Arabidopsis thaliana: one gene and its partner. The protein of the gene in region 1 interacts with the protein of each later gene in a pairwise test. Each region holds a gene or a part of one and is shown in the gene's direction. Other genes may lie near its edges.

The links.
Region 2: the proteins of NRT1.9 (region 1) and ABCC5 interact in a protein complementation assay, tested with the Arabidopsis thaliana proteins (one large-scale study listed by BioGRID).

Annotation. Positions count from the first base shown.
Region 1 is NC_003070.9:6,512,887-6,528,206, forward strand, and holds NRT1.9 (Major facilitator superfamily protein), read left to right. Parts: upstream 1-7,834; 5' UTR 7,835-7,913; coding exon 7,914-8,004; intron 8,005-8,054; exon of another isoform or gene 8,055-8,238; intron 8,239-8,508; coding exon 8,509-8,726; intron 8,727-8,823; coding exon 8,824-9,377; intron 9,378-9,454; coding exon 9,455-10,355; 3' UTR 10,356-10,482; downstream 10,483-15,320. Other genes in the region: ICS2 (isochorismate synthase 2), read left to right, coding at 2,600-2,725, 2,836-3,024, 3,618-3,853, 3,947-4,064, 4,144-4,260, 4,340-4,486, 4,564-4,638, 4,739-4,807 and 7 more; AT1G18871 (uncharacterized protein), read right to left, coding at 6,423-6,599; CDPK1 (calcium-dependent protein kinase 1), read right to left, coding at 10,582-10,755, 10,873-11,103, 11,196-11,363, 11,472-11,587, 11,677-11,829, 11,922-12,065, 12,199-12,850. UniProt on the Arabidopsis thaliana protein: Low-affinity nitrate transporter facilitating nitrate loading into root phloem. Not involved in dipeptides transport, but has a weak glucosinolate transport activity.
Region 2 is NC_003070.9:1,059,835-1,078,031, reverse strand, and holds ABCC5 (multidrug resistance-associated protein 5), read left to right. Parts: upstream 1-6,951; 5' UTR 6,952-7,344; intron 7,345-7,537; 5' UTR 7,538-7,635; coding exon 7,636-9,675; intron 9,676-9,784; coding exon 9,785-10,105; intron 10,106-10,182; coding exon 10,183-10,269; intron 10,270-10,481; coding exon 10,482-11,180; intron 11,181-11,260; coding exon 11,261-11,425; intron 11,426-11,506; coding exon 11,507-11,801; intron 11,802-11,882; coding exon 11,883-12,097; intron 12,098-12,176; coding exon 12,177-12,482; intron 12,483-12,588; coding exon 12,589-12,652; intron 12,653-12,737; coding exon 12,738-12,977; intron 12,978-13,071; coding exon 13,072-13,184; 3' UTR 13,185-13,768; downstream 13,769-18,197. Other genes in the region: AT1G04140 (Transducin family protein / WD-40 repeat family protein), read left to right, coding at 1-691, 796-996, 1,100-1,160, 1,353-1,466, 1,608-1,721, 1,807-1,913, 2,022-2,040; TPR2 (Tetratricopeptide repeat (TPR)-like superfamily protein), read right to left, coding at 2,658-2,731, 2,832-2,924, 3,011-3,134, 3,422-3,502, 3,607-3,807, 3,901-4,092, 4,171-4,383, 4,463-4,567; SDD1 (Subtilase family protein), read left to right, coding at 14,248-16,575; IAA10 (indoleacetic acid-induced protein 10), read right to left, coding at 17,006-17,075, 17,168-17,300, 17,398-17,708, 17,952-18,197. UniProt on the Arabidopsis thaliana protein: Pump for glutathione S-conjugates. Involved in regulation of K(+) and Na(+) cell content.

The DNA of each region.
Region 1 (15,320 bases):
ACATGTTTCATGTGAATCATTTGGATTTTCTGACAAGAAGATATAGAAGATTCCCCCACTTCTTTGTGTTCATTAATCCGACACTCAGTTTTGTTTAAAGTCTCAAACAATTGAATTTTTCTTCGTTCAGTTTACTTTTCTGATAATATAACCTTTAAATCGTCGGAAAAAGAAAAAATTAACCAACTAAAGAAGAAGAAAAACTTTTTTAAAAAAACGAAAAGAGAAAAAGAAGACGAAAAACAAACTTATGAGTAACGTCAATGATTAGTGGTTGTGATCGAAACATCACAAGCCATACCATTAACACGATATACTCGTGTTTCAACAACACGATATACTTGGGTTTTCGTGTTGAATGTCGTGTTTCTTCCAGCTCACTTGTTTCTTTAACACAATATTGTCTTGTTAACAAAAATAAATCAAATCTTCTCTTAACTTTATCTTTTTTTAAACTGGCAAACAAAAATTCAAAATGAAATATTGAACAAACCTATACGAATCTACGATACGCAATTAATAACATCTCCGTCAAATGTTGGTCATAGACGTACTCTTTCTTTTTGCTCTGTATATAGTAAAGTAGATGACAAAGACAACAGAACTATTAAAAAGGAAAAAAAGCAGTGCAGGCTCATACGAATTCAGATACGAAACGCCTCTGTAACGTAAATGATTAATTTGATATGGACGTATCGTTACCTCCCCACACGTGGCCTGAAGGGGATTGATTTGTTATCAATTGTTTTGTTTGACCATCAAAGCTTCGACATTTATTGTTATTTTCAATAGTTAATATAACTTGACTTTTAAAGGTTTATAGAAACTGAATATGTAAAAGTTTGTAAGAGACAGATATTTGTTTAAGAATATATAAGAAGAGTCTAACTCTCTTCCAAATCTCAAGGGTTTTTCTTTTCACTAATCTCTAGAGTTTGGAGCAGATTAATTCCACATTTCCACTACTAAGTGGCTAAGTGCTAACAGAAAATATATTATTTACAAAGATAGGACAATTTTACCTTAATTGTTACGAGACGATTAGTTTTTTATTTATTTATCCCGAGCATATTTTATACCGTATATGTCGATCTATTTTATTAAATAAAGATTAGGGTTTAAATTTAGATTTTATGGTTTGTTAAAAATAATAATATAGATTTATGGTTTAGTTTAATTTTGCTGAACATCCATTAGATAAATTAAAAGCTATTTTGATTCATTCATTTGATAAACGTCTATTTAAATGTCCATAGAAATCTATGATACATGGCTAACTGTGTTTAACCTAATTAATCAGATGTGCCATTATATTAACGAAGAACATGATCTAAATGTTAAGAACGGTATTCTATAACTACATATGATTTGCCCGCTAAGGCTATTTTGGTAACGAAATGGTGGTGTACTGTAGAGGCGCAACGTTCGAATGGTACATGAACATGGGACAAGAATGCTAAATTTTAGATAAATATTTGAAAAATTAGTCTGAGATTCGTTTCATGATAGATCCTGATTACCAAATAAAATCTTCATTTTGTTAATTATTAAACAATCACACAGTCGATATTAAATTACATTACAAATCTATCTATATATACATTTTTGCAGCCATTTTAGCAAATAAATCTTAGAGTTGAACTTATTTACAATCCAATGCCATTAGCATTAAATCTTTTTTTCAAAATAATTAATTTTACTTTAAATTCTTAATTTAAATTGTCAATTACATTATCAATAAAATTTAATCCAGACAAACTTCACATCAATCCCTTAAAATTAGCATAAACGTATTTTGTTAACAATATTTTAAAATAAAGTTTTTTGTTTAAATAAATATTGTTCTTACTAAACGTTTTTTGTTTAAATAAACAAATCATGTATTTGAACTTATTTACAATGTCATGCTACTGACATTAATTATTTAGGCATGAAAATATTTAATTAAAGATTTAAATCTTCTAAATTCTTGCTTTTAGAGTTATTATATCATTATTTAAAGAGGCAAAAAATATTAATTTTTTAAATATTATTATATATATATTTAAACTTCATAAAACATTATTAATATTTAAATTTATAAAAAGTTTATTATATCAAAAAAATTAACATCATTATATAACATATAGAGTTTAAAAAATCTCAAAACAATTTCGTCCTATTTTGTGATTCGAAATTTTAAGAATGAACATATATTAACCAATAGGCGAAAAATGTGTGGGTTCAATGTCCCGTAACGACTAAAATATTTTGACAATGATTCATAAAGATATTATAAATAAGATCAATATTAATAAAATAAATAGTTTTTATTGTAGACGGGTTTGGCAGGACGTTACTTAGTAACAATTGCAAACTATAAAATAATTTACAAATTTTTATATATATTAATTGTTAAAAATGAGTTGTCGGGTTAAAATCTAGTTATAGACCGAATTTCTTGAGCAGTTTTCATGAAACTCAAAACGAAATTTAACATAATGTGGGACCAATTTCAGGATCACATCTATATATATGTATATATATTCAGGCAAGACATATCGTACAAGTTGAAGTCTCAGTGCCATACAATAATATCAACATCTTCGTAGTCTCTCTAATGGCGTCGCTTCAGTGTTCATTCCATTTTCTGGGCACAAACCCTAAAAAATACAATCCCAGTTCGATCTTCCAAAGCTACTCTCGAACCTCATTCACCAAATTATCCTCTCGTGTCTCTCGCCAGGTTTTTTTTTTTTCGTTTTTTGTTTTCAATCATTTTCAGGTTTCAGCAAAACCACTCTGTTTTTCTTTGTCTTTTACGTCACAGTATTTGAAACCCTCTTTGTGAAACAGAGGTTCCTACGCTGTACACTGTCTATGAACGGATGTGAGGCTGACCACAAAGCACCACTTGGCACGGTAGAAACAAGGACTCTATCAACGGTGCCATCTCCGGCAGCCGCGACGGAGAGGCTGATAACCGCCGTCTCTGACCTCAAATCTCAACCGCCTCCATTCTCCTCCGGCATTGTCCGATTACAGGTACGTAAATTCGTAATAATTTCTTCATTAGTTTGTGGCTTTGTGCCATTCCAAAAATTCGTAAGGCAAACAATGATTAAAAAACAAATGAGCTTAAGCCACGTGGAGCTCTTACATTGGTATGTGTGATATTGTTCCATTTCTTGCTGTCGGACTGTCGGTTGCATAAACATAGATTGACTCAACTTTATTGTTAGATTTAAAATCTATCTACCCAAATAGTATGGGGGTCAGGTTTGAACTATTTTGCATCATTGGTTCAATATTTTTGTATTTCTGCAAATAAATAAATTATTGTTAGATTTTTAGAAAAATATCAAGCAAGTAGTCTCTTTTTATGAATGTTATCAATACTATTATAATGGATTTATCTGTTTATGAAAATAATTAAGGTAAATAGTTATTTCATGATGTAAGAAAGTAAGATTTTAATTTCATGGGTTTATCTGGAAGAAAAATATTTGACTTTTAAGATAAAAGAAAATAAATAGTGGTAAAAAATCAAAAATCGAAACATTAGCGACTTATATTCTCTCCCGCGCAAAAATAAAAATAAAGCCCTATTTTCATAGACGTTAATCTTGTGATTGAAGGTACCAATTGAGCAGAAAATTGGAGCAATCGATTGGCTTCATGCACAGAACGAAATTCTTCCTCGCAGTTTCTTTTCCCGTCGTAGCGATTCTGGCCGTCCAGATCTTCTTCAAGACTTCTCAAGTGACAATGGATCATCTGATCATAATCCAGTTAGTGTCGCTGGAATCGGGTCTGCTGTCTTTTTCCGCGATCTCGACCCGTTTTCTCATGATGACTGGAGATCAATCCGAAGGTACCAGCACCGAAAGTTTTTTATCTTCATGAAGTTTGATTCTTTCTGCTGTTTATCTCTTCGCTTCTTATGTTCATTTCCCCTGTTTTGAAGGTTCTTGTCTTCAAAGTCTCCTCTGATTCGTGCCTATGGAGGTCTTCGATTTGATCCTACAGGGAAGATCGCTGTGGAATGGGAACATTTTGGCTCGTTTTACTTTACAGTGCCCCAGGTACTAGAATTTGATTTCTTTAAGATAATTGTTGTTACCATGGACTAATAATGACTTTGTTTTGTTGATATACACATAGGTCGAGTTTGATGAGTTTGGAGGAAGCTCAATGCTGGCTGCAACTGTTGCTTGGGACAATGAGCTCTCATGGACGCTTGAAAATGCTATTGAAGCACTTCAGGAAACTATGCTTCAGGTTAGCCATTTTCTAAATCTGCTCCTTAACTTATTAGTTACTTGATATAATCAAAGCTAAAACTGTCTGGTTTTATCAGGTTTCTTCTGTTATAATGAGATTACGGCGAGAATCTTTAGGAGTTATTGTTGTTAGCAAGAACCATGTTCCAAGTGAAGGAGCCTATTACCCTGCTGTGAATAATGCTCTAGAGATTATCAAGGACAAACATTCACCCCTAAGCAAGGTACTTAAGGAACCTTATCTTCCTTTTTTGTATACATTTTATGGGTTTCAGTGACGAAATTTTGGTTTGGGGATCAGGTTGTGCTTGCACGCAGTAGCAGAATCATTACGGATACCGACATTGATCCTATCGCTTGGTTAGCACGGTTGCAGGTGTCTTTTTCTTCCTCACTCATTTGTTAGACTAATCACTTTCTTCCGGTTATATCAATTTTGAAGTGTTGAAATCTGAGTCTAATTATTAATATGACAGTGTGAAGGACAAGACGCGTACCAATTCTGTCTTCAACCACCCGGTGCACCAGCATTCATAGGGAACACGGTAGGTTACTTATTCTTCTTACGTGGTAGATAAGTTGTTGCCAAACTCTGTTTTTTAGCTGCTATGATAATGTTGACATACATCTTAATGGAGCAGCCTGAGAGACTCTTCCACAGAAAACATCTAGGTGTCTGCAGTGAGGCTTTGGCTGCAACAAGGCCTAGAGGTGATTCAAAGGTTCGTGAAATGGAGATAGAGCGCGACTTACTAACCAGGTCAACTGTTTGTTTTGTGCTTTGTACACTTACAAGATGCATGTTTAGAAACTTCCAGATATGTGTACTGATATTATTTGCAAATACTACTGTAGTCCCAAAGACGATCTTGAGTTTTCTATTGTCCGAGAGAATATAAGAGAAAAACTTAAAGTAAGTTCAATATTTTTACTCATCAACCTCAATTCCTGGCTTCAAGTAGAAGAACATTTATTTAGCAGAATCTTTGTGAATGCTAAAACATATTTATCTTGAATGTCTTTTTTATATATAACCTTCTGATTTTATTTTTCTTGTAATCCTCTCTTCTGCTTTGCAGACCATATGTGACAGGGTAGTAGTTAAACCCCATAAATCAGTGAGAAAGCTTGCAAGAGTACAGCATCTATATTCTCAATTGGCAGGACAGCTAAAAAGAGAAGATGATGAGGTTACATGACATTTCTTACATGATTTTAACCTCTCATGATCATCTAAATCACTTGACTTGTTCTGCAGGTTATCTAAAATAGACAGATATGAGTTTCCTTTAACTTATAATCTGTTGTAGTCTCATACTACAGTCCTCTTTCCATTGAGTGAAAAAAGCTACGTTTTCTCTCTTACCTCAAAATATGTTTGTCTATGTTTCAGTTTAACATCTTAACTGCTTTGCATCCGACGCCAGCTGTTTGCGGATGTCCAGTAGAAGAAGCTAGGCTTTTGATTAAACAAATTGGTATAACATAATTTGATTCCGATGCTTTTCAAATTTTCTTTCACTGTCTTTTCGGAAAAAAGAATTTCTCTGTAGAAGTAGCTATCTACTAATATATGCTTATACCGAGATACATATTCTTCTTCTTTTTCCAGAGTCATTTGATAGAGGAATGTATGCTGGACCTATTGGGTTCTTTGGTGGTGGGGAGAGTGAATTTTCTGTAGGCATACGATCTGCTTTAGTCGAAAAGGTGACAACTCCCCTTAGTGTAGCAAACGGGTCATTCACTGTTAAATACAGTGCATTTATCTTGGTCCTTTTGTGTCTCCCAGGGTCTTGGAGCATTGATCTATGCAGGAACAGGAATCGTTTCAGGAAGCAATCCTTCCTCGGAGTGGAACGAGCTTGAGCTTAAGATCTCTCAGGTGAAAAAGTCTTCAAGAATGTTGTTAAACACTCTCACTGCAATTTCCATGTCTTTTATGAAATCTCAAATCAGATTGATATGTGTTTTCTGCAGTTCACTAAGTCACTTGAACATGAGTCAGCTTTGCAACCAATCAACTAAAGAAAGGCGGGAATTGAGATTGTTTAATAACTAAATTGGTTTGTATCATTTGTGTGTTTGGTCATTGGTGTGTATATTGTAAATAGAAGCAACACTAATGATGATGCTGCATGGTACACTTTAAATCTTCTTTTAGCTACTTGTTGTCCAATTTCTGACCAGACTAGAAGCCTTTGAAGCGACTATGACTCTATGAGGTCCATCAAATGAAACACTTACGCACGTTGTGATCCAAAGCTGACGTATATTTCCACCTTCACGAAAAAATGACAAATTATTTAGGAATATTATGTGACAATAACAAAACATAATAATTAAGGCTCCAAAAACAAATCTTTATTACTACTTATTAACGAACGAACGTAATTAGATTACCGATAGTGTGCTAATGGGGTTTCAGAAAAGTGATGGGTGGTTTCTTTTGGACTAATCCAATCAAAAGGGATTTGATTTTTTTGGGTTATATCATTTAGGAAAAGATACTTTTTTGTTCCCTTGATAATCAAAACTGTCTTCTCCATCACTCATATTCTCTTCTAATTGTTCTCACAATCATATCTCACTATAAAATTGAAATGCTTTATTTCTGTAGCAATAATTTCAAAGACAACTTTCTATTTATTATGAAATTAATATAAATATTCTTTTACCCATCACTTGAAAAAGAAGAAGCAAATGTACATCTTTTTTAGATAAGACTTTTAGTTAACATATACTCTTGTTCTCCAAATTAAATCGTAATTCGGTGGGTTTCTATTTTTGATAGTATAGAAAATTTCGAAATAAATGTCTAATTCATTCATTCATTACTTATATAGATATATTTTAAAAAACCTAGAAATGTACATGAACTATAATCGGTAAAATAAAAAAGAATATGGATATTAGTTGACCGCCAATAATACAATTTACCCCTCTTGAGGGTCATATTTATCAAAACGAATCAACATGATTTTTGAATGCAATGGTCGTCTCCTTATTTCTCTTTTGCATGCTTAAATGTTTCTTTTACATAATTAAAGTTTTGAGAAGAAAAAAAGTAACGGTAGCGAGAAGATTCCTTTTGCATTTTTGAAAGTTTATTGCATTCAACTAAAAAGCCAATTGTCAACATTACAGAAATATGTTCGTATTGGCACAATATATGATTCTTAAACAACTCTTCTTAGCTTTCTTCTTCTTCTTTTATCATTTTTTCATATTGTTTAAGAATACCTACTAGATGAAAAGTAAAAGGATAGATTCGTTGTCGATATTACAGATATTAAAGATGAACTCTTGACTGCTACTTAATGTTTAAATAACGAGTTAAGAATATTACATAAGTCATGGCAACAAATAAACTAATAAGTTATCCGAACGTTAGTGTGTTAGTTGACAAATCAAAACAATGAAGTGAGGAATACCAACTCCAGTCCTCTCCTTTCGATAAAGCCGACTCTTTTTACTCAAATCTATATTCTAATCCAACACTTTTGTTTTGGTATAATCTCCAAATAGCTTTTTTGGTCTCATAATGAGATCCTTCTCACTTCCCACTAATATATATATACACACACACATATACTAACACATTACACACACTTAGAGAAAGCAGAGCAGAGCATAGAGAAAAACATAACAATGGAGGTTGAGAAGACAGAGAAGAACATTGCAGAGGATGATGAGTCTAAGATCATCTACAGAGGATGGAAAGTCATGCCCTTCATCATTGGTATTTATTCATCCATATTCTTTCTTATATATATATATATATATTTTTTTTTTTTGATAAATACTTTTGTTTGCTTACAAGTATAAAGTCATCATGTTTTTTTCATCAGTTTCTTGTTCGTTTCAAAATTATGATTTTTGTTTACTTACACTCATAATCTTGAAACGAACAAAAAACTGATGGAAAAACATGAGGACTTTATACTTGTAAATAAATAAAAATATTTATTAGAAATAAATAAACAAAAATATAAGAATATTTATTAATTTCGTGCTCTTTTAGTATGTTTTTATTATTATTTATGAAACATTTGATTCATTGACAAAAAAAACATTTGATTCATAAAATTAAAACATAGGACTTTTTTTATGGATCTGTTTCTTTCATGTTTTTTATTTTTATTTATTATAACATTTTTGGTCTTGAAACGAACAAGAAACTGATAGAGAAAACAGAGGATTTTATGAACAGAGTAACTTAATGCTCTGTTTCTTAATTTGGTAGGAAATGAGACATTTGAAAAATTGGGGATTGTTGGAAGTTCATCGAATCTGGTTATATACTTAACGACGGTTTTCAACATGAAGAGCATCACGGCTGCGAAAGTCGTCAACATCTACGGTGGCACAAGCAACTTTGGCACCATCGTCGCTGCTTTCCTCTGTGACTCCTACTTTGGCCGCTACAAGACCCTATCTTTCGCCATGATCGCTTGCTTTCTCGTAAATTCTAAAACCTATTCATCACAATTTTCAGTTTGAAAAAAAACTAGCTGATTATGTCTGAAAGTTTCAATCGTTTGTTGTGTTTGATGCAAAGGGTTCGGTGGCAATGGATCTAACGGCTGTGATTCATCCCCTGCATCCAGCTCAATGCGCTAAGGAAATAGGAAGCGTGTGCAATGGGCCATCCATCGGACAAATCATGTTTCTCGCCGGAGCAATGGTTTTGCTGGTGATCGGAGCCGGTGGGATTAGGCCATGCAATCTTCCATTTGGTGCTGATCAGTTCGATCCGAAGACAAAAGAAGGGAAACGAGGGATTGAGAGTTTCTTCAATTGGTATTTCTTCACCTTCACGTTTGCTCAGATGGTGTCGTTAACCCTCATCGTCTATGTTCAGTCAAACGTGAGCTGGAGCATTGGTTTAGCCATCCCAGCTATTCTAATGCTACTTGGTTGCATCATATTCTTCGCTGGTTCTAAGCTCTATGTCAAGGTTAAAGCTAGTGGCAGTCCCATTCACAGCATAACTCGTGTCATTGTTGTCGCGATCAAGAAGAGGCGGTTAAAGCCCGTTGGGCCTAACGAGCTTTACAACTACATCGCCAGTGATTTCAAGAACTCGAAATTGGGCCATACAGAGCAGTTCAGGTACTAATAACCTCACTACTTCTCTTAGTTTCTTGTGGAACAACTTAGAAACATTTTAGGGTTTTCTTAATTTGCAGGTTTCTTGACAAATCGGCAATCCAAACACAAGACGACAAGCTGAACAAAGATGGGTCGCCGGTGGATGCATGGAAACTCTGCAGTATGCAACAAGTGGAGGAAGTTAAATGCGTGATCCGGGTGCTTCCGGTTTGGCTCTCGGCCGCCTTATTCTACCTAGCTTACATTCAACAAACAACCTACACAATCTTTCAGTCTCTTCAATCCGATAGACGCCTTGGTCCAGGAAGTTTCCAGATCCCGGCCGGTTCTTATACCGTCTTCCTAATGCTTGGAATGACGATATTCATACCTATCTATGACCGCGTCCTTGTACCTTTCCTTAGAAAGTATACAGGCAGAGACGGCGGTATCACACAACTGCAGAGAGTTGGAGCAGGACTGTTTCTATGCATCACAAGTATGATGGTGTCTGCAATTGTAGAACAATACAGAAGAAAGGTAGCTCTCACAAAACCGACGCTAGGGTTGGCCCCAAGAAAAGGCGCAATCTCTTCGATGTCCGGTATGTGGTTGATTCCTCAGCTAGTGCTAATGGGTATCGCGGACGCCCTCGCTGGAGTTGGACAAATGGAGTTTTACTACAAACAGTTTCCAGAGAACATGCGAAGTTTTGCTGGTTCTCTGTATTATTGTGGAATCGGATTGGCGAGTTACCTCAGCACCTTTTTGTTATCGGCGGTACACGATACCACAGAGGGATTTTCAGGAGGAAGTTGGCTTCCGGAAGATTTAAACAAGGGAAGATTGGAGTATTTCTACTTCTTGGTTGCTGGTATGATGACTCTAAACTTGGCCTATTTCTTGTTGGTCTCACATTGGTACCGTTACAAAGATGTTGTGGCCAAGGACAAGGACATGGACAAGACTTCTGCTGAGTTTGATAAGGTGTCAGTGTAATAAAGATCTTTCCTTTGACTCTTTGGTTTAGGGGCTTTGAGACAATAAAAATACAACCTTTGAACAAAACATTACATACAAAATACAATGTAAAATGTTTATATATGTAAAGAACCATAGCTTCCGTAAAATTCCCATCCCTCAAAGAACAAGCCCGGAAAATTCCCAATTTATGAAATGGGGAAAAAACGGAGCATTGCTCTGTTTTTGGTGATAACGAATAAATTTAAACAGGAACAGTTTGTCCAGTGAGAGCGTCATGGAGATGCAATGACCCATCTTTCATCAAGTTAATGCTTAAGCTTTTGAACCTCTCTCTTGAATATTGTCTCGATGCCTTTCTCCAGTCAGTTCCAGCTTTCATCATCGTCACAAACTCATCATAGTTTATACGTCCGTCCTGTAAAAAGCAAACAAGCCCAACAATCCGACTCAGAAGCAGAGGGATATATCTTTTCTCTTGACAAGCTTTATTGTTAGGCCTTAAAGGAGGATTTTTTTGGATATTTGAAAGAACCTTGTCAGTGTCAACTTCACGCATGATGTCGCTTAGAACACTGGCGTCTGGCTCGCCTAACTCATCCGCTAAAGCTTCCCGTAGCTCATCAAGTTCAATGTATGTACTTCCATCTTTGTCGAAAAACATAAAAGCTAGTTTGAAAAGTTCATCATTCTCTATCTTCTGCAAGTGAATTATCACAGCTACAAACTCTCCATAATCCAGAAACCCATTTCCATCGACATCCGCCTGCGCGTCAAAGCCATACAGATTTCAGCTATGTTTATCAGAGAAGAACACTGAATTGGTCTTTAATCAGATAAGGGCAATGCTTAAATTACCACTTCCATCAACATTTTGATCTCTGGTTCACCAAGTTGTGAACCGACCTTCTGAAGCCCAGCTTTGAGTTCCGGGTAAGTTATTTTACCATCCTTGTCATCATCCATCAGTGAGAACATGTTCTTTATCACTTCAACCTCTTGAATAGACAAGTGCTCCGCAATTACCTGGAAGCATTAACAGGGATGATAATGATCAAAACCAAATATAGACACACACAACAGACTCTCTACAAACTTCAGCAGAAAAGTAAAAGGCAAAAAAAAAACACTTACACGAAGAACTTTCTTTTTGAATCTGTTCATCATAGAGAACTGCTTCAACCTAGATCTGACTATATCTCCTAAAGGAACATTGGGAGCTTTCTTTGCATTCTGTATCCATGGGTGAGCTGAAAGGTGAGAAAAAGAAAATCATTAGTAATAGAGTGGATTAAGGTAACTACGACCATTAAAGAAAACAGAAACACAAGAACTTCACCTAACACTTGCTGAGCAGTTAACCGCTTAGTCGGATCAGGATCCAACATCTGCTTCACAAGGCTCTTGGCACTCTCTGATATCTGAGGCCAAGGGTCTCTCTTAAAATCAAGAACTCCCCGCAAGATCGCAAGAGCAACACCTTGTTCAGTCTCTGTCAATAGAAACCACAATCTTATCGGTTTATCTAATCAACATAGGTGAACAATTACACAGCTGCTAAAATAATTAAAAGAAGAAGCTAACCAGCCCAAAACGGAGGAACACCACAGAGCAAGATATAGATAATAACTCCGGCACTCCACACATCAACCCCTGGTCCATAATCTCTCTTCAACACTTCTGGAGCCATATAATACGGACTTCCTACAATCTCTGTAAACTTATCTCCTACAATAAAGAAAACGTTATTTACCCAATCTCAGATATCTACACAAACTTCCATAAACATGAAGATATGGCAGGATAGTCTAAAAATAGAACCATCCACTGAGTTAAGAAACACTAAAAATTGAATCTTTACCAGGTTTGAAGAACACAGACAAGCCAAAATCAATAGCCTTTAGTGGAGAATTCTCCTTTTTATTAGCAAACAAGAAATTCTCAGGTTTCAAATCTCGATGCATAACTCCATTAGAGTGACACATCATCACAACCTCAGCAATCGTTCTCGCAACAGCTGCAGCAGCACGCTCCGTGTAATGTCCTCTAGCAACAATCCGATCAAAAAGCTCACCTCCTTCACAAAGCTCCATAACCAGATGCACGTTCTCGTTATCCTCATAACTAGCCTTAAGCTTAACTACGTTTGGATGCTCAGGTAAAGTAGACATAATCGCTACCTCACGACGAACGTCTTCGATATCGACAGCTGTTCGAAGCTTTCGCTTTGAAATCGATTTGCAAGCTAAAGCTTCGTGGGTTTCACGATCAGTACAGAGGTAAGTGATTCCGAATTCGCCTCGACCTAATTCACGACCTAAGATGTATTTGTCGCTGATCTGAGTTTGATTGCTCATAGGGATTACATCTTTGAGAACACGTATTGGAGCTGGGGATCTGGTGAAATCTCCGGCGAATGGGTTTAATTTCCGATCTCGATTGGGTTTTTTCGGCTTTGAAGATGGTTTTGATTCTTTTGAGTCTGGCCTTACACAGGCGTTACAGTTACCCATGGCTGAGTTAAGAAACTCAGCAAACTCAGAGAAAGGAGATCAAGGAAGAAGAAGAAGAAGGATTATAGAAGAAAAAAGCTTATCTCTTTAGTTCATATGGACGCCGGAAGTGACGGTGGCGGTGATTTTCCGGCGAATTGGAGAGTTGGGTTGGGAGGGGGAGAGAAAACGCGGGTTCAGGTGAGGAAAAGTCGGACCTTTCGAAATTTCGGATTTTGTTTGATTCAATTAAAAAAAAGGGAGTCTTTGATTTTTGTGTATAGTAATATACAGTATTAGTTTATGATGCATTTAATAACTTGAGAGATTTTTCTAACCATTGCACCATCTTCTTAGAAACTTGTAATTTTTTTTCAATTTTTTTTTTCTTCTAGATGGATTTTTTGGTCCAAGCTTATGACTAATAGAATTCACTTCTTTATTTTTTGGTTGAACTCAGTGGATTAACTCTTGCATTTTTCAGTGGTTTTATAAACAAACAAACAAAATCATTTGTATTTTCAGTTATTATTATTATAAGTTTATATTGATCATATTATAGTTCTATCAAGATGTACAAATGATAACCGACAACAATGATTTTAGAAAATTCAAACTCTTAGATTTAACAGCATCAGAAAATTTAAAGGTTGGATTTCACCAAATTAAAACCTAATTAAAAGAGCATTTATTGAAAAGAAATATAGGCAGACTTCAAAACATTACGGCCAAACGTATAATTAACAGTTTAGCGAGGAGGACAATGTTAGCCGTTGGTGTGAATTAATGGTAATGAAATGAAGGGATAAGATTGAAGTTCGAGGAAGAGAGTTTTGTTGAAGTTGTTGACCAGCGTGGTGGATACGGTGAGACTCTGAGATTGTAAGACAAAACAATAAGTGCGACGTTGATCCCAAACTATTTTTTAAAAATTATTTTCTTCTCTAGAGATATACAATGTACGTAAAATAGAAGAAAAATCATAATAATATTTTATTTATAGTTTTGAATATATTTTTTTTGGAGCAATTTTTTGTTTCTAATTTGCATTATTTTGAAGTCTAGTTCTTTTCTGTTTTTGTATGTGTACAATCATAATCTAGATGCTAGGATATGAAGAAATTCCCGACAGAAAAAAAGAAAGGATAGGAAAATATTGTGTGTATAGACTTCCTCAATTATGAGCAATACTTATTGTGTTGTAGAAAATAAAGCAAAGTTATATAGGTAAATAAAATTCGAAAAGAAGAAGCAAAGTACGAAATATTCCATTAATGGAAGTCAACAACAAATTTAAAAACACTAAAAATCAATGAAAACTATGTTTCTTTGGCTTAGAAAGTAGAAACCGCAAGTCGTCCTATCCTGACTTCGCTACAAGTTCAATTGTCAATGTCATACTCGTTTTCTTTATCTTGGTTTTACATTACATTACCTTGGGGATTTGGATACCATTCAATCCATATATAAGAAAATGTGTGTTGCGCGTCTATATTCCAAAAGACCTAATTAATATATAGTAGTAAGAATTTTCACAAAGGATTAGAGATTGAAACTTTATTTTGTTCAATGAAAATGGTCTTTGATGATGGATGTACTACCATGAATAAAATTTTAGACTTTAATTTTAACAAAATGAAATGTGTGATTTAATGTCAACCACACAGAGCTTAAGTGCTTTTGTTTCAAGGGACATGTGGTGGATTAAGTATGCATATATCATTGCATACGATGAAATATTTTAAAGCAAACTACATAGTTTTTATATGGATAATTTTATATATGTATTTTTTTCAATGATTCGATCAAATTAATATTTGGTAGGTCAGAAAAAAGCGGTTTCAATTTATTGCCCAACTAGAGACCTTCCACCCTCCTATCTATGAACCTACTAAAAACACCAACAACTTATTCGTGGAAAACTTTATCGGTTTTTTGTTCATTCAAGTTTCAAAATGGATATTTATACAACATAATCTCGAATTTAGATTATTTTAAATCCTCTGATTAATCTTCCGAAGAAGAAAGAAACGATGGACATGCTTTTGTCGTCGGCAACTTTAAAGCTGGCATAACTTAAAATTTAAAACAGTAAAAGTGACAATTATATTTGGAAAGAGTGTGTCTTTTTGCTGAAGAGAATGATTATGTTTGGGAATTGTGATGATGTGTTCTATTCAAATGCTGTGGCTGCATGTGTTCTGTATGTATCATGCATGTTGTTACGCCAACTTTTCCATCTATGTATAAGTTCAATCACTTTTCATAAATCATACATACAAATTATATTACAGCTCCAAAAGTTCAATTATACTCTAAACAAAAGAGATGTAATCCTTAATTATTGCCAGAAGTCGAATTTATTAGTATTTTAGTTTCAGCTGTAACAGTCTTTATAAGTTACTCTAATATTTTTCTAAATTGTTTTTGATTTTGTTTTGTGTATGAGACCTCTCATCATGCATTTTCAGATTGCAGTACATAATCTAAT
Region 2 (18,197 bases), 5.5 Mb from region 1:
CTGGTTCCTATCATGTCCCAGACAACTCTGCTAGTAATACATTTGCTACCCAAGCAGGAGCTAGAAATTCTACTACTGCAGTTGATGCCATGGATGTAGATGAAGCTCAACCTGTTGGAAGAAATAGAGTTCCCAGTCAAGTTTCAAGTCAACCAGATTTACTGGAGTTTGGACAACTTCAGCAGTTATTTCACTTTAGAGACAGAGGTTCCTGGGAGCTACCTTTTCTACAAGGGTGGTTGATGGCTCAAAGCCAAGCTGGTGCTAATTCAGTGGCTCTTCCTACTGGTAGTAGTGGTCACGTCAACTCAACTCCTTATATGGGTTCTTCTTCAGCATCTCATTCATCCACAGCCAGTCTAGAGGCTGGAGTAGCGTCATTAGAAATTCCTGGTGGTGTTAACTTATATGGGGTTTCTGCAAGAGGTGACTCCCGGGACCGAATTCTACAGTCCCGCTTCGCAGGATCTGGTTTAGCAGAAGGTCGTTCCTCTCGTAACACTCAACATGAAGGAGCTGATGCTCAACCTGTGGTAAACAGAATCCCTTCTGAACTGGCTAGTTCAATTGCTGCTGCAGAGTTGCCTTGTACTGTCAAACTGAGAGTGTGGTCACATGACATCAAAGACCCATGTTCAATACTGAAGTCTGACAAATGTCGATTAACAATACATCATGCTGTTCTTTGCAGGTAAAATTTCTCCTTATATCGTTGTACGATCTTAGATGATCGTGATGCTATATAATATTTCTCCTTTTGATGGAGATACATGATGTGTGTGTTTATCGTTGCAGTGAGATGGGAGCCCATTTTTCTCCATGTGGGAGATATTTAGCAGCCTGTGTTGCATGCGTTATTCCTCATGCTGAGACAGATCCAAGTTTGCAGACACTGGTCCAACAAGACTCAGGGCTTGCAACTTCCCCTACTCGACATCCTGTCACAGCACATCAAGTCATGTATGAACTTCGTGTGTATTCTCTGGAAAAAGAATCGTAAGTGCTACTTCCAATTGTTTTTCTTGTTACCTTTTTCAAAATTTTACACAGCACAAAACAAAAAAAAACTCAAGAGAAAATGTCTTATGTATGTCTGCAGATTTGGTTCGGTACTTGTGTCCCGGGCAATTAGGGCTGCACATTGCTTAACCTCTATCCAGGTTAGCCACAATTTGGTTGGATTAAATAAATTTGTTAGACATAAGTCTCTGTTGCAACTTTTTTCTAGACATAACATTGTTCAAGTACTTCATAACTGCAAAGTTCCTTGAGATTTCACCCCTAATAGTAAATAGAGTTGTTCACTTGTATTTTTGTGATGAAATACTTTATAATTAAAAATTTCCGTGCAGTTCTCACCAACCTCCGAGCACATTCTGCTTGCATATGGTCGTCGTCATGGTTCTCTTTTGAAGAGCATTGTGAGTGATGGAGAAACAACATCACATTTTTTCACAGTTTTGGAGGTAACGTCTATGCTCCAGTAGTTATGAATTTCTAGACCAGCAGAACAATGTTTAGCAGATGCCATTTTATATCATTAACTATATACACTTGGAATATCATACAAGAGTTTAGACTGTGTTTTTCCCTTTCTATTCCTTCAGATTTACAGAGTTTCAGATATGGAACTGGTGAGAGTACTTCCAAGCTCAGAGGATGAAGTTAATGTTGCTTGCTTTCATCCTTCTCCTGGGGGAGGTCTTGTCTATGGAACAAAGGTAATTAATCCTAAATCGTAATGTGAAAAACTTCTCGGCGCTAAAATGTTGACTTGTATTGATATTTGCTCAATATTTATCTCAGGAGGGAAAACTAAGGATCTTCCGGTACAACACAGCTGCTGCGTCCAATCTCACTGCACCAAATAGCTCTCCCGATGAGAACTTGGCCGAGGTAGAATTATTAACAAGGTTGATCTTCTTGAAATAATAATAAAAGATGAATGAAAGCAAACGAATCTTTTTGAACTAACATATGAATGTTTCGATTTCCATCCTTGGAAAAATTTTGAACCACAGGTGCAGACCTATGCGTTAGAATGCTAGACAGGGAAGAATTTGGGTCTCAACCATTCTATATACACACTCTCATAGACAGATCTTGCATTGCGGGACTATTTACCTTCCTTTGTTTCTTTTCGGGTTATTCTTCCCGTTCTGTTTGCTCGCGGTGCTTTTAGTTGTCCTACCCGCTGTGCGATTCCAAACCTGAGAAGCTTTTTTCCATTCACGAGCTGGTGGTATCTTTTTCTTATTTTCTTATATACTGTTGAGGGCCGTAGGTTGGGATGGCCTATCTTCCATTTGCAAACCCTTTTCTTTAAAAAAACAAAAAAGAAATGAAGCAGGTTTCTGAGTTTGTTGTTTAAAATGACTTCAGAAAAATGTAAAAAAAAAAGATGTTTTTTTGTTTGATAAATTGATGTTGTAGTTTGTAACTAAGATTGTAACCACGTTTTTTCCTCTGTAAGATCGTTTTTTTCCCCTTGGTTTTTTACTTTCGTTACCTAGAAAAGTTTGGACGTGGCGGAGCCCTAGCCATAACTCAGAACAGGTTTGTGTCTTTGAACGGTAACAGTAATAGATTACGACAACCAACAACAAAAAGAAGCTGCAAAAAATTATCATCAACTATTCTCTTTCTAACTCAATTCTTTAGTTTGGTGGAGTCCATTTTCCAGCGGTAAAGTCCTTGTAGAATTTGGACCTCTTTGATACGATGTAAAAGACTGTAACCAACCAAAAAACAAGAAGAGAGGCGTTAATGACGCAAACGAAGTCTGTAGCAACTGTTAGAAAACAGACGCCAATGTGATCATACAAACAAACCTGGAATCTCAGGGATGACAAACTTAGGTTCTTTCAACACGTCATGCAATGTTCTTCTCTCGTTCACTTTAACCATACCCGAAGAACCTTTCACTTTCACCCAAATTCAAGGAATATATGTTATATAGAATGATTGGCAATGCAAAATGCATATCATATCACAAGTTTAGGATCCTTACGGTAGGAGGGTGTTTTGGTTGCGCTTGTGTCCTCTTCTCCGGTAGTTTCAGCTTGAGAACCTTTTGTACCTTCTAAAAGATACTGGAGAACTCTACTCCTAGGCAATGGAGTTCCTGAACTCGCCTAGAGAAAAGAAAGATCCTGATGTTACTACCAGTGCTTCATATAACACACACTTTTCATTGAAGATGTTCGACTAAATCATCAGTGTTATAAAAAAAGAAATGATTCTCTTGCTAGTGGATAAAACGAAAGCCATATGTAAGAATTTGAGAGGCTGTGGACATTAAAAACAGAATGGCTAAGCTGAAACATTTTGACTGAAAATACTTTTGTAAGATAGCGCAGGAAGACCTGAACAAGAATTTGTTAATACATGAATGATGTGTGGGTGAAGTAGGAGTGATTACCTCGTAGTAAAGCTCAATAACATCACGTGAGTATTCGTTGTTTTTATCCCATGGCAGCGGCGGGCTGTCCTCTGAAAACATGTTTAGAGCGCTAAGGAGGGACATAAAGCGCATTGAACAGTCTATAGACGTTATCGAAATGAGATGCAAGAATAAGAAACGAAAGGAAACTGGCAAAAGGATATCATATCAAGATGAGTTGCAAACATGTCTGTTTCACAAAAGTCCTCAACAAAGTCACTTGTCATGGCCTCAGCGTAAAGAAGCAGGACAGGCCAATGAAGGATGTTGTTTTTATCTAACATTGGCTTCTTCAAACCAGTGAGTTCTCGGTACATTGCTTTGCCAATCTTCACTCCTCTGTTCTCGATCGCAGAGAGACAAGCCTGTAGTGAAACCAAGGAAAACTGAGTCAGCTAAAATGCTCAAAGTGAAATGACTTGTAATGTATTAAAGCTTGATATTCATGTAAATCTAACCTTGGCTTCCACCACCGCCTGTGAGGCTTGAGCCTCATGTTGTTCTTTCTCTTGCTTCTTTGAATTCACAAGTTTTAAAAGCTTCTTCATGTCCTCATTACTCGGATCATTCTCGATTCCCTTTTCACAATAAGACTTTGCCTCGTTCAGCAAATCCAATGACATGGATGCCTTAGCAGCTCGATACACCGCCTTTTGAAGCATTGAAACCCATCAGAGAAACCAACCAAAACGGTACAACGAAATCAAAGAGAAAGTTTAGCTTACTACCTTAACGTTATGAGGAGATAACCTCATTGATTCCTCAGCATCGGTGAGGGCACGCCGATAGTTGCCTAAGAGTAGATTAACATGGGATCGATTCGAGAACAAAATAGAGGTCTCTGAATCACTTAGAACTCCCTGACTAATGGCTTTCGTGTAACAATCAATCGCCTCAGAGTAATGCTTTTTCCCTTTCCTTACACATTCATTGCCCTCTTCCTGTGTTTAAACAGCAAAGGAATGAAATCGATACTACATCAAACATCAAAATCGAACGAGCCAGAGAAGAGAGAGGTACTTTGAATTCGATGGCGGTGGATTCTTTGAGAGCAGAAATAGCTTCAAGATCAGCCTTTTCCTTCTCCGTGGTCGGCGTCGCTCCAGCGTCCATCCATAGCGCCATTGATTCGCAGCAGAAAGATAGAAAGCAAATAGTGAAATATTCGATTAACCTAGACGACGACAGAAGCAGGAGAAGAAGAAGAAGAAGAAGCTTCGAGTTCTTTGGAGGGAGAGGGACAGATACCGGTTATTTCCTCTCGTTAACCGAATACCGGTTTAATACTATTGTCCCGGTTTGATCTCAATAGCTATCATGAGCCTCGATTGTGTGTATATGAGAGAGTATTATGGGCCCAAATTTAACACACATGAGATTTTTTTTTTTAAAGTGAAATTTCTGAGTCGAATAATAAATTCCAGTGACAGTGAGACTGAGACACCGGAGTCTAAAGGAAAGGTGAGAGCGGGGGACAATGTAAGAAAAAGGTCGGTGAGAAATAAAACGACAAGTGATAGAACTTTTCTTAGTACCATAGTTGAATTTAAGGTGGTGGGCCATTCAATGGGCCTAACTTGGCCCGTACAATCTGTAACATCATTTAGTATTGAATTCACATTCACCAATCACCAATCACCTTACCAAAATAGTGCGATAGGAATTAAATTGTGTTTGGCTTGGTATTTGTTAAATCATCAATAGACAATAATAGTTTGATAAGACTTACAACAACTGAATATTTATAACTCGCAATTAGCCCTGTTAACATTCCAGGCAGTGCCTGCGTTTAAGCAACAATACAGAGGCTTCTTTTAGGTCATATGTCAACACCTAAAACAAATAGATAACATGTGAGAGAAATGTGTTAGGTATATTACACTATGATTAGTTCTTTTGTTAAAGGACCACGCACCACTATCATTATCCACGTTACACACGGTTTGAACTTAAAGAAGATCGCATGTTCCACTATCTTTTTTGTTGTTGTTTGTCCTCCTCAATTGAACAATTTGCATACGTAAGCGACATTTGGTTCATATACAGTGTTCATGAACTGAGCAACATATATACTGTTTTTTTTTCATCTAAGAAAAGCTACCTTTTTGAAATTTGTATTTATGCAAACGAAAGATAATGGAAAGTGAGCTGGCATGGACCGAAAGTGGTACAAAAAAAGTTTGAACAAAGCCATTACTATACCAAACAAACGCAAATGACAAAAACTACGCAGCATTAACAACTATATTACAATTGTCATTATTTATGTATAACATTATAATACACTATCAAGGCTTCTAGATTGTTACATCATCTCCTTAATTCTTCCAAGTTACATCATCATATATAGTTGAAATTAATTTCTATTATTCGTGAGAATATAAGTTGATTGGAAGAAGGAAGATTCAGTCTATATATATATTTGAAATACTATATGTGGAAGAACGTAGAATTCCCTATTGCGAACTAGAAATGTGTTGACGTACCGTGTATAACCAAATGTAATATATTAATCAAAGGACATATTAACGTACACATTTTTTACTGCATAGTCAGCAATAATTGACATTTAATCATACATGTATTAGAAAATGGTATGCCACGTAAGACGCATTACCTTGCATGAATGGCATGTGTAGTAAGTCGTCATCCGCATATTGTCCAAACAAACAAACAAATAAACACATACGGGCAAGAATTAAAAAAAAATCATCTTTTGTTGGTCTTATATAGTTGCTTATCTGAATAGTCTCACACTCTCTCACTTGAGAGCAAGAGTGCATGTAATTATACTATAGTATTAGTACATACGAACAATTTGGTGGTGAGTATAAGTTTGGATCTTTGGACTATATATAAAGTCATTAATTTCATACTCTTACGCTATTCTTTTATATCTTTTAATCAAGTTGACACATTTGTCTCATTGTTTTGGTGCAGAGATGATAGATTGGTTTTCTTTCTTTTATATATATGTATTGAAACGATAACGTGTATGTCTCCACTTTCTACAAATGAATTTTAAAAAGCTCAATGTGTATACATAGGAATTGATAAACCAGTGATTATATAGTATTTTGTAATATACTGACACCTATACAGTTTTATTTTAGTAATATTTGTAGCCTTGTAGACAATACATAATACTCATCACGTCACGTGTAGAATATTCCATGGACCGTATAAGGTTCCTCCTCCATTGTATCCCACAATTAATTAGACACAGCTTAGATTAGCAAAATGGTAATTTCTTTCGTTTGAGTTATGATTGGCGATTTCGTATAAAACGAATCGAGAGAATAAAAACGTAAAAGAATCGGAATATGATTCATTGCTTACCATGGTTAAGTTTAATGATAAGTGCTTTTATTGATAACATATATGGTCAAATAATACAATAATTTGATCATAAAGAGTAAAGACAATTGAAAAATGAAATCACCAAAAAAGTCAGATCACATACAGACACATTGACGCATCGACGTCAAGCATCGTGAGCGCACAAAGAGCTTACGGCTTTATTATTAACACACACACTAAGCAAAACAGTAAGTCCACGAGAAAGCATCCAAAAAGCCCAAAGGAACCACCTTTATTTTTTATTTTATTTTAGGCAAAGGAAGCTCCTTTATTAAATTCCCAATCTTCTTCCACTACTTTGCACAATCTTTAATCGATCCAACCAATAAATTTTGCATTTTTTTTCGTTGGCGAATGAAGGATTAGAGAGAAACAGAAGAAATTGTTAATTTTTTTCTTGTTGATTTTAATTAAAGAGAAGAGAGATCTCTCTTCTCGATTGCTCTCAAGAACCCAAGTGACGTCTGGTTTCAGCTGATTTGTTTCTTCTCATTCTCTATCTTCTTCTCTGGGAAATATCGATTTTGATCTATTAAGAGCTGGTGAGAGCCAAAGTTTCCTTTTTGTTTGTTTGTTTGTTTGTTTGTTGTTTGTATTTTTGTATCTCTGTGATCGCTTCTACGTGTTGGGTCATGCAGAGAAACTCATTTTGTTTTGATTTGCAATGTGTCAATTCCACTTTGAAATATAAGATTCATCGCCTCTCTCTCCTTTGTTTTTTTTCTTCTTCTGCAGCTACGAGCTTTGGGATGTGGTGAGATGCTTGTTCTATCTCGAACAATCCGCCGGTTGTTGATTTTAAACAAACTCTCTATCACAAATCTTTCCCGATCATGGATTTTATTGAGATCTCGTTGATCTTTCGAGAGCATTTGCCACTACTGGAACTATGTTCGGTCATCATCAACCTCCTACTCTTTCTTGTCTTTCTATTTGCTGTCTCCGCGAGGCAGATTCTCGTCTGCGTGAGAAGAGGCAGAGATAGGCTCTCTAAGGACGATACGGTTTCAGCTTCTAATCTTAGCTTGGAAAGAGAGGTTAACCATGTTAGTGTTGGGTTTGGGTTTAATCTGTCTTTGCTCTGTTGCTTATATGTGTTAGGCGTCCAAGTTTTGGTGTTAGTATATGATGGGGTTAAGGTTAGAAGAGAAGTCAGTGACTGGTTTGTTCTTTGCTTTCCAGCTTCTCAGAGTTTAGCTTGGTTTGTCCTTAGCTTCTTAGTTCTTCATTTGAAATACAAGTCTTCAGAGAAGCTACCCTTCTTGGTGAGGATATGGTGGTTCCTGGCGTTTTCGATTTGCCTCTGTACTATGTATGTCGATGGAAGAAGGCTAGCCATTGAAGGTTGGAGCAGATGTTCTTCTCATGTTGTCGCCAATTTAGCTGTTACACCTGCTCTTGGGTTTCTCTGCTTTCTGGCCTGGAGAGGCGTTTCTGGTATTCAAGTTACCAGAAGCTCCTCTGATCTTCAAGAGCCTTTGCTTGTTGAAGAAGAGGCAGCTTGTCTTAAAGTTACTCCATATAGTACTGCTGGGCTAGTTAGCCTTATTACGCTTTCATGGTTGGATCCACTTCTCTCGGCTGGTTCAAAAAGACCGCTTGAGCTTAAGGATATACCGCTTCTTGCACCAAGAGATAGAGCCAAATCAAGTTACAAGGTCTTGAAGTCGAATTGGAAGAGATGCAAGTCCGAGAATCCTTCAAAGCCTCCTTCTTTAGCTCGTGCAATTATGAAATCATTTTGGAAAGAAGCTGCTTGCAATGCCGTATTTGCTGGGTTGAATACTCTTGTGTCCTATGTCGGTCCTTACTTGATCAGCTACTTTGTTGATTATCTTGGAGGGAAGGAGATTTTCCCTCATGAAGGATACGTACTCGCTGGGATATTCTTTACGTCCAAGCTTATAGAGACAGTCACCACCCGCCAGTGGTATATGGGTGTTGATATCCTAGGGATGCATGTTAGATCAGCTCTTACAGCAATGGTATACCGAAAAGGTCTCAAACTTTCAAGTATAGCCAAGCAGAACCACACGAGCGGTGAAATTGTAAACTACATGGCAGTCGATGTCCAGCGCATAGGAGATTACTCATGGTATCTTCATGATATTTGGATGCTTCCGATGCAAATAGTTCTTGCTCTTGCAATCCTATATAAAAGCGTGGGCATAGCTGCTGTAGCTACATTGGTTGCTACAATAATCTCGATTCTTGTCACGATTCCACTCGCTAAGGTCCAGGAAGACTATCAAGATAAGTTGATGACTGCGAAAGATGAAAGAATGAGGAAAACCTCAGAGTGTCTTAGGAACATGAGAGTTCTGAAATTGCAGGCATGGGAAGATCGTTATAGAGTGAGATTGGAAGAAATGAGGGAAGAGGAGTATGGTTGGCTTCGCAAAGCCTTATATTCTCAGGCTTTTGTTACTTTTATCTTTTGGAGTTCCCCCATTTTTGTCGCCGCAGTTACATTCGCTACTTCGATATTTCTAGGCACTCAACTTACCGCTGGAGGTGTTCTTTCTGCTCTGGCGACATTCAGAATTCTTCAGGAGCCACTTCGGAACTTTCCTGATCTGGTTTCAATGATGGCTCAGACAAAGGTTTCTCTTGATAGGATTTCTGGGTTCTTGCAGGAGGAAGAACTTCAAGAAGATGCAACTGTTGTTATTCCACGGGGACTTTCGAATATAGCCATAGAGATTAAAGATGGTGTGTTTTGTTGGGACCCTTTTTCTTCAAGGCCGACATTATCTGGGATTCAGATGAAAGTGGAGAAGGGTATGCGTGTGGCTGTCTGTGGCACAGTTGGCTCTGGAAAATCAAGTTTTATCTCTTGCATCCTAGGGGAAATCCCAAAAATCTCTGGCGAAGTAAGTTAATGTTTTGGGGTGTTTGTCTCAATTGCTTCACTATTTTTTCTTTTCTTTTCTTATATTCACTTAGCTATCATTGATCCAACTGCTGATAATTGTTATATAGGTTAGAATATGTGGTACTACTGGTTATGTGTCTCAATCGGCTTGGATTCAGTCTGGTAACATTGAAGAAAACATTCTATTTGGCAGTCCAATGGAGAAAACAAAGTACAAGAATGTGATACAAGCATGTTCCCTAAAGAAAGATATAGAGCTTTTCTCACATGGGGACCAAACTATTATCGGGGAGAGAGGTATAAATCTCAGCGGAGGTCAGAAACAGCGTGTACAACTTGCAAGGGCATTATATCAAGATGCTGACATTTATTTACTAGACGACCCTTTTAGTGCTCTTGATGCACACACTGGCTCTGATTTGTTTAGGGTAAGAAGCTATTCAAGTCATGTTTTCATATTTTGAGTTTGAACGTTTGCGTAACACGGTTATTAATGGCTATACAGGATTATATTCTATCTGCATTGGCTGAGAAAACTGTGGTTTTTGTAACGCATCAAGTTGAGTTTCTCCCTGCAGCTGATCTAATATTGGTAAGAAACTCTTTTTTCTCGGTTTTACTACACATTAATTCTGGCTACTGTTGGTCCTTTTAGAATTGCTAAAGGGTCTCTTTTAGGTGTTTAGCTTACCAGCCTGTGATGAACTTATCTCTATTGTTGCAGAAAGGTAAAATTGTTGAAGGAGTTTCCAAACTGTTTCCGTTATGATAAGCTCTGAAATATTTATTTGTGTTGTTTCAAAGGTTCTGAAGGAAGGCAGGATTATTCAATCGGGTAAATATGATGATCTGCTGCAAGCAGGTACTGATTTTAAGGCCTTAGTGTCTGCCCACCATGAAGCAATCGAGGCAATGGACATCCCAAGTCCCTCCTCAGAAGACTCTGATGAAAATCCTATTCGCGATAGTTTGGTCTTGCATAATCCAAAGTCTGATGTTTTTGAAAATGACATCGAGACTTTGGCAAAGGAAGTACAAGAGGGAGGATCTGCTTCAGATCTAAAGGCAATCAAAGAGAAGAAGAAGAAAGCTAAGCGTTCCCGCAAAAAGCAGCTTGTTCAAGAAGAGGAACGAGTAAAGGGAAAAGTCAGCATGAAGGTGTACTTGTCATACATGGGTGCTGCATATAAAGGGGCTCTGATTCCTCTTATTATACTCGCACAAGCTGCTTTCCAATTTCTTCAGATTGCTAGTAATTGGTGGATGGCTTGGGCAAATCCTCAAACTGAAGGTGACGAATCTAAAGTGGATCCTACTCTGCTTCTCATCGTTTATACGGCTTTAGCTTTCGGGAGCTCTGTGTTCATATTTGTTCGAGCTGCTCTGGTTGCAACTTTTGGTCTTGCAGCTGCACAGAAACTGTTCTTAAATATGCTCAGAAGTGTGTTCCGAGCGCCAATGTCATTCTTTGATTCCACTCCTGCAGGAAGAATTTTGAATCGGGTATGTAGATGTGGTATTATAACCAAATTCCACAGTTTCTGTGTTACTTTTCTGATTTTGGGGATTTTATTGATGTGCAGGTTTCTATTGATCAAAGTGTTGTAGATCTTGACATTCCTTTTAGACTCGGTGGGTTTGCTTCAACAACAATACAACTCTGTGGCATTGTCGCTGTAATGACCAATGTTACCTGGCAAGTTTTCCTTCTTGTTGTTCCGGTAGCTGTTGCTTGCTTTTGGATGCAGGTAAATCTATTTTCGATTTTTCCTCTGAATAACTGTGAAAGATTGTTTTCGTAATTTAGTTTATATTGAAATAAAATGCAGAAATATTACATGGCTTCTTCAAGAGAATTGGTTCGGATAGTTAGTATCCAGAAGTCTCCAATAATTCATCTTTTTGGAGAATCAATTGCTGGTGCTGCCACAATAAGAGGATTTGGCCAGGAAAAAAGATTTATCAAAAGGAATCTTTATCTTCTAGATTGTTTTGTTCGACCTTTCTTCTGCAGTATCGCTGCTATCGAATGGCTTTGTTTACGCATGGAATTACTTTCCACACTTGTATTTGCTTTCTGTATGGTTTTACTCGTCAGTTTTCCACATGGAACCATTGATCCAAGTAAGTATCTCTAGTTACTATAACAAAAAAAGCATCAACGAGCAGCCGGTTTTTCTAATATTGATGTTCCTGTTGTAATAGGCATGGCAGGTCTTGCTGTGACATATGGACTTAACTTGAATGGACGTCTATCACGATGGATACTTAGCTTTTGTAAGCTTGAAAACAAAATAATCTCAATCGAAAGGATTTATCAGTACAGTCAGATTGTAGGAGAGGCCCCAGCAATTATAGAAGATTTCCGCCCGCCTTCCTCGTGGCCTGCAACGGGAACAATTGAGCTAGTTGATGTTAAGGTACTATTCAAAAATACTATTTTTATTACCTCTCTGCACTTCCTTTCCCTGCTTTCTTATTGCTTCGTTCTTTTCGAAGGTTCGTTATGCTGAGAATCTTCCAACAGTACTCCATGGGGTGAGCTGTGTGTTTCCGGGTGGAAAAAAGATTGGGATTGTTGGGCGAACGGGAAGCGGAAAGTCGACTTTGATTCAAGCTTTGTTTCGATTGATTGAGCCAACTGCTGGAAAAATTACTATTGACAACATTGACATTTCTCAAATTGGTCTTCATGATCTTCGTAGTCGCCTTGGGATTATACCTCAAGATCCTACATTATTTGAAGGAACAATCCGAGCAAATCTTGACCCACTTGAAGAACATTCAGATGATAAAATCTGGGAGGTATCTATAAATATGTTGTTTGATACTCTTATCTTGTTTATGTTTTAGACACTAAACTCTGAGATTTGGAGTTTGATTCTAGAGATTTACCCAACTTTGCTGACAGGCGCTTGATAAATCCCAGCTTGGAGACGTTGTTAGAGGAAAAGACCTAAAACTTGACTCTCCAGGTAACTATTTACATCAAAAGTCCTCTCTTTTTCCCGGGTCTTTTTCGCTTCTTTCTACTGATTTTTTTGGCTCAAAACCGAGTAGTACTGGAAAATGGAGATAACTGGAGTGTAGGGCAGAGACAGCTTGTGTCACTTGGACGAGCATTACTGAAACAAGCCAAAATACTTGTTCTTGATGAAGCAACAGCATCGGTTGACACAGCAACAGACAATCTGATCCAGAAGATAATCAGAACAGAGTTTGAAGACTGCACGGTCTGCACCATTGCTCACCGGATACCAACTGTTATAGACAGTGACCTAGTTTTGGTTCTCAGCGACGGTTAGTCTCATACAAATTAAAAACATGGATCTTTCTTCATATTACTCGTCGTCTTTTGGGAGAATTCAATGTTTATGTTTATGGTTTGTTGCAGGTAGAGTAGCAGAGTTTGATACTCCTGCACGGCTATTAGAAGACAAATCATCGATGTTCTTGAAATTGGTAACAGAATACTCCTCAAGATCTACTGGAATCCCTGAATTATGATCCTCCATGTTAAAAATTCAGTTTAGGGGGTTTCTTTTCTCAAGAGGATATAAAAGAACTGATATGTGACAAAAGCTTAAGGTCTAAAGTAAGAGAGAGTTTTCCACAGGGTTTAAGAAAAGAAAAAGCATGAAAGGATGCCAAAATCTCCGCGCTTAAAAAACTTTGGGTTTAAATCTCTTCTGTCGAACATTGGGAGAAACTTTTTTTGTATGGAACAGTTAGTTTCTTTGGTTTTCATGTTTATCAATAAACTGCAAAAACAAACAAAGATTAGAGTAGAAACTACTAATCATTCGTCATCATCCCTCAAGTGTGATCTGTATTGGGCTTATTATAAGTGTAATCAGTACTGGGCTTATAAGTTGTACAGAGCCCAATATAACAATATCTGTACGACGTCGTTTTGTTGTGACGTAGTACCCGATGACAAAACGAGGCGTGTTGAGCGTGCGTGTATAAATGCACGTAGTGAACGAACACTAACCACGCTGCTGCATTTAATTCCTTTCTCAACGGTCGTATTTTCCTATTCAAGGCTTTAACTAAGTTTAATAGTATGTTTTTAAAAAAATACATATATTTGGCCAATGGTTGATTATTAAGTTATTGTTAAATGAATTTTCTTTGGCTTGGTAAAACTTCAATGGAAACCAAATAAATTTCAAAATCTTTTGTTGCTGAAAAAGGCTACACAAACTACTATACGCAATAAAACCTAACCATAACATCTCGTGAACAAGGAAAAAAAAAGGAAAAACAGAGACACAGAGACAAGGCAGACAAAAAAGCCTTACAAGTGAAAAACCTTAAACAGCTTCAGTTAATATAGTTCATGTCTTAGAAAAAAATAAAAGAGAAGAAGCTCCTACCTCTGCAACATACAAAGGATACTCGTGAGGCAGAGCTCTTACTCTTCACGAGCTTCATCATCTTCTTCCTTAGACTCCAAATCCCAGGTTTTGAATTCTCTTCATTCTTCTTTAAATACCCTATTCTTCTTCTTCTCTAAAACCATGCACTTCAACTACACTAAACCAACTCCTTTTTTTAACTCTCTCCAATGGAACCCAAACCTTTCTTTCTCTGCATTATCTTTCTTCTATTTTGTTCTTCTTCGTCAGAGATCCTGCAGAAGCAGACTTACATTGTTCAGCTTCATCCTAATAGCGAAACCGCTAAAACCTTTGCCTCAAAGTTTGATTGGCATCTTTCTTTTCTCCAAGAAGCGGTTTTAGGTGTTGAAGAAGAAGAGGAAGAGCCTTCTTCTCGACTTCTCTACTCCTATGGCTCTGCGATTGAAGGATTTGCTGCTCAGTTGACTGAATCAGAAGCCGAGATACTGAGATATTCACCTGAAGTTGTTGCAGTGAGACCTGACCATGTTCTTCAGGTTCAAACCACTTACTCTTACAAGTTCTTGGGACTCGACGGTTTTGGAAACTCCGGTGTATGGTCTAAATCTCGGTTTGGTCAAGGCACAATTATCGGCGTGCTTGATACTGGAGTTTGGCCTGAAAGTCCTAGCTTTGACGATACCGGAATGCCTTCGATTCCACGGAAATGGAAAGGGATTTGCCAAGAAGGAGAAAGTTTCAGTTCTTCGAGCTGTAACCGGAAGCTAATCGGTGCTAGATTCTTCATCAGAGGACACCGTGTCGCTAATTCACCAGAGGAATCACCAAACATGCCTCGTGAATACATTTCCGCAAGAGATTCAACGGGACACGGGACTCACACCGCCTCAACAGTTGGTGGATCCTCTGTTTCGATGGCGAATGTTCTTGGCAATGGAGCTGGTGTGGCTCGTGGGATGGCTCCTGGAGCTCACATTGCAGTCTATAAAGTCTGTTGGTTCAATGGTTGTTACAGCTCTGACATTCTAGCAGCTATAGATGTAGCGATTCAAGATAAAGTCGATGTTCTTTCGCTTTCCCTTGGCGGTTTCCCTATTCCTTTGTATGATGACACAATCGCCATTGGAACATTCCGAGCCATGGAACGCGGTATATCTGTAATCTGTGCAGCTGGTAACAACGGTCCAATCGAAAGCTCTGTTGCAAACACAGCTCCTTGGGTCTCAACCATTGGCGCAGGCACGCTTGATCGAAGATTTCCCGCTGTGGTCAGATTAGCCAACGGAAAGCTTCTCTATGGAGAGTCATTGTATCCGGGAAAAGGTATAAAGAATGCCGGGAGAGAGGTTGAGGTGATTTACGTCACAGGAGGAGATAAAGGAAGTGAGTTCTGTTTGAGAGGGTCACTTCCAAGAGAAGAAATCCGAGGCAAAATGGTGATTTGTGATCGCGGAGTCAATGGAAGATCGGAGAAAGGAGAAGCGGTTAAAGAAGCTGGAGGAGTTGCAATGATCTTAGCCAATACAGAGATCAACCAAGAAGAAGATTCTATTGACGTTCATCTCTTACCAGCTACATTGATTGGTTACACTGAGTCAGTCCTTCTGAAGGCTTATGTTAATGCCACGGTGAAACCAAAGGCGCGGATAATTTTTGGTGGTACGGTGATTGGGAGGTCACGAGCACCGGAGGTGGCTCAGTTTTCAGCTCGAGGACCGAGTTTAGCCAATCCTTCGATACTAAAACCGGATATGATTGCTCCGGGAGTCAATATCATTGCGGCTTGGCCTCAAAATCTAGGACCAACCGGACTTCCTTATGATTCAAGAAGAGTTAACTTCACTGTAATGTCAGGAACTTCAATGTCTTGTCCACATGTTAGCGGAATCACTGCTCTTATCCGGTCTGCATACCCGAACTGGTCTCCAGCTGCAATCAAATCCGCATTGATGACAACAGCGGATTTGTACGATCGTCAAGGGAAAGCGATAAAGGATGGTAACAAACCAGCCGGTGTGTTTGCGATTGGAGCAGGGCATGTGAATCCGCAAAAGGCGATAAACCCGGGATTGGTTTACAACATTCAACCAGTGGATTACATAACTTACCTCTGCACTCTTGGATTCACAAGATCAGATATTTTAGCAATCACTCATAAGAACGTGAGCTGCAATGGAATATTGCGGAAAAACCCGGGTTTTAGTCTCAATTACCCGTCGATAGCCGTGATTTTCAAACGTGGCAAGACTACGGAGATGATCACAAGGCGTGTCACTAACGTTGGGAGTCCTAACTCGATATACTCAGTGAATGTCAAGGCTCCAGAGGGGATCAAAGTTATTGTCAATCCTAAGAGACTTGTGTTCAAACACGTGGATCAGACGCTGAGCTATAGAGTATGGTTTGTATTGAAGAAGAAAAACAGAGGAGGGAAGGTGGCTAGCTTTGCACAAGGGCAGTTGACTTGGGTCAACTCTCATAATCTGATGCAGCGAGTTAGAAGTCCAATCTCTGTAACCTTGAAGACTAACTGAGCCAATGAAGGAAAACGTTTTTCATTCTGTTTCAAGACTGTGTTAGGTTTATTAGGTTTTTATGCTAAGAAAACCTCGTGAAGCTGATTGATTGTTGTTATTGTACGCACAAGAGCTGTATTTCATTTTCCAGGGAATGAAACTACTGGTGATTCTATCATATTACTGTAGCTTGATTTCATCACTAAACCCTAATCCAGATGCATGCCTTTGTTGTTATAGTGGTATATTGGATCAGGCACCAATAGAGTGAAAAACCCTAAATATACAAAGATCTTTAAAGACAAGGTTAAGCTGTTGTTTGATATTCACAAACGACCACAAGACATATGTACACTCATGTATAAACATATGCACATGTATATATGTGAATGTGATATATGAGTTACAGACCAAAGAGATGTAAACTGTTTTTGCTATATAGGACTCTCTACTTACCTACTCCAGCTCCAATTGATGTCTTCATGATTCTCAGTCTTGTCACAGACCCGAGGAACATCCTGAGAAGATGAAAAGATCGTTTTCATTGAAATGGATGTGCCACATTACAAATACAGATGATGAATGGGAAGTTATAAGGGTAGTCACTTACTGCCAAGGAACATCTCCTACAAGCATCCAATCTCCGTCTTTATCTTGATATGTTATGATATATTCCGATGAGCCATCCAGTAATTTCGAAGTACATGTTTCCTTAATTGTCTTGTATCCTTGTGTGTTGGATCCTACAAATCGATCAATCAAAACCAGTCAATTTCAAGAGACACAGAATTTGAAAAACAGAATCACATGGAATCTCATGAAACAGAATTAGTAACTGACTTGTTACAGGAGAAGGAATCTGGAAAAACATTAGATCCAAAGTTTTCTCTAAGGCTGCATAAGAATCCAGAGCATTGAGATCAACCTTCCTTCCAATTATAACTCCGTCCATTGTCACCTTCACAAGCATAGAAGTCCTGGACGATTTGATAAAGCAAGCATCATCGTTCTTAGCAGCAACCACTACACTTTTTGTAGTCTCCTTTTGAATGCCAGAACTCAAGCCGCCTTCCGTAGCTAAAGACTTTGCTTGATTGACCAAACTGTTGATTCTGTAAGTCCGTAGAGGCGGCCAACCTACAGCAACTTGTCTGCTCCATTACCAAAAGATATTAAATCAAAAGACGAACAAGTATAAACCAATATGATTCAAAAGTTTAACTAAACATTTCAGGGAACACTCTATTTGATTCAATCCTGTGATTCATTCATTCTCAAAGTTTAAGGTCTAAAAGCTCTATCCTCTAAGTTGCTTTGATTCTGTAACAATAAGCAATCTGAGACCAATCATTCATATAGGTTATAATATAAAGTCTCGAAGATGAATTTTTTACCTGGTTGCGTTTGAGGCGGCAGCCGGAGAAGAATCAGCAGAGCGTTTGGTCCCACTTTCCCTGGTCAGAGAAGAAGACGAGGAAGACAAAGACGATCGAACCTTCCGACGACCAATGCTAAGACCCAAAGCTAGGTCGAGCTCTGTCTCTGACACTGACTCGTCGGGGCAAGATGAATCCTCCGACGAATGTGCGGCGTTTTCGTCTTCTTCAGCTGGTAGTCCGATCATCACCGACCCACTTGAC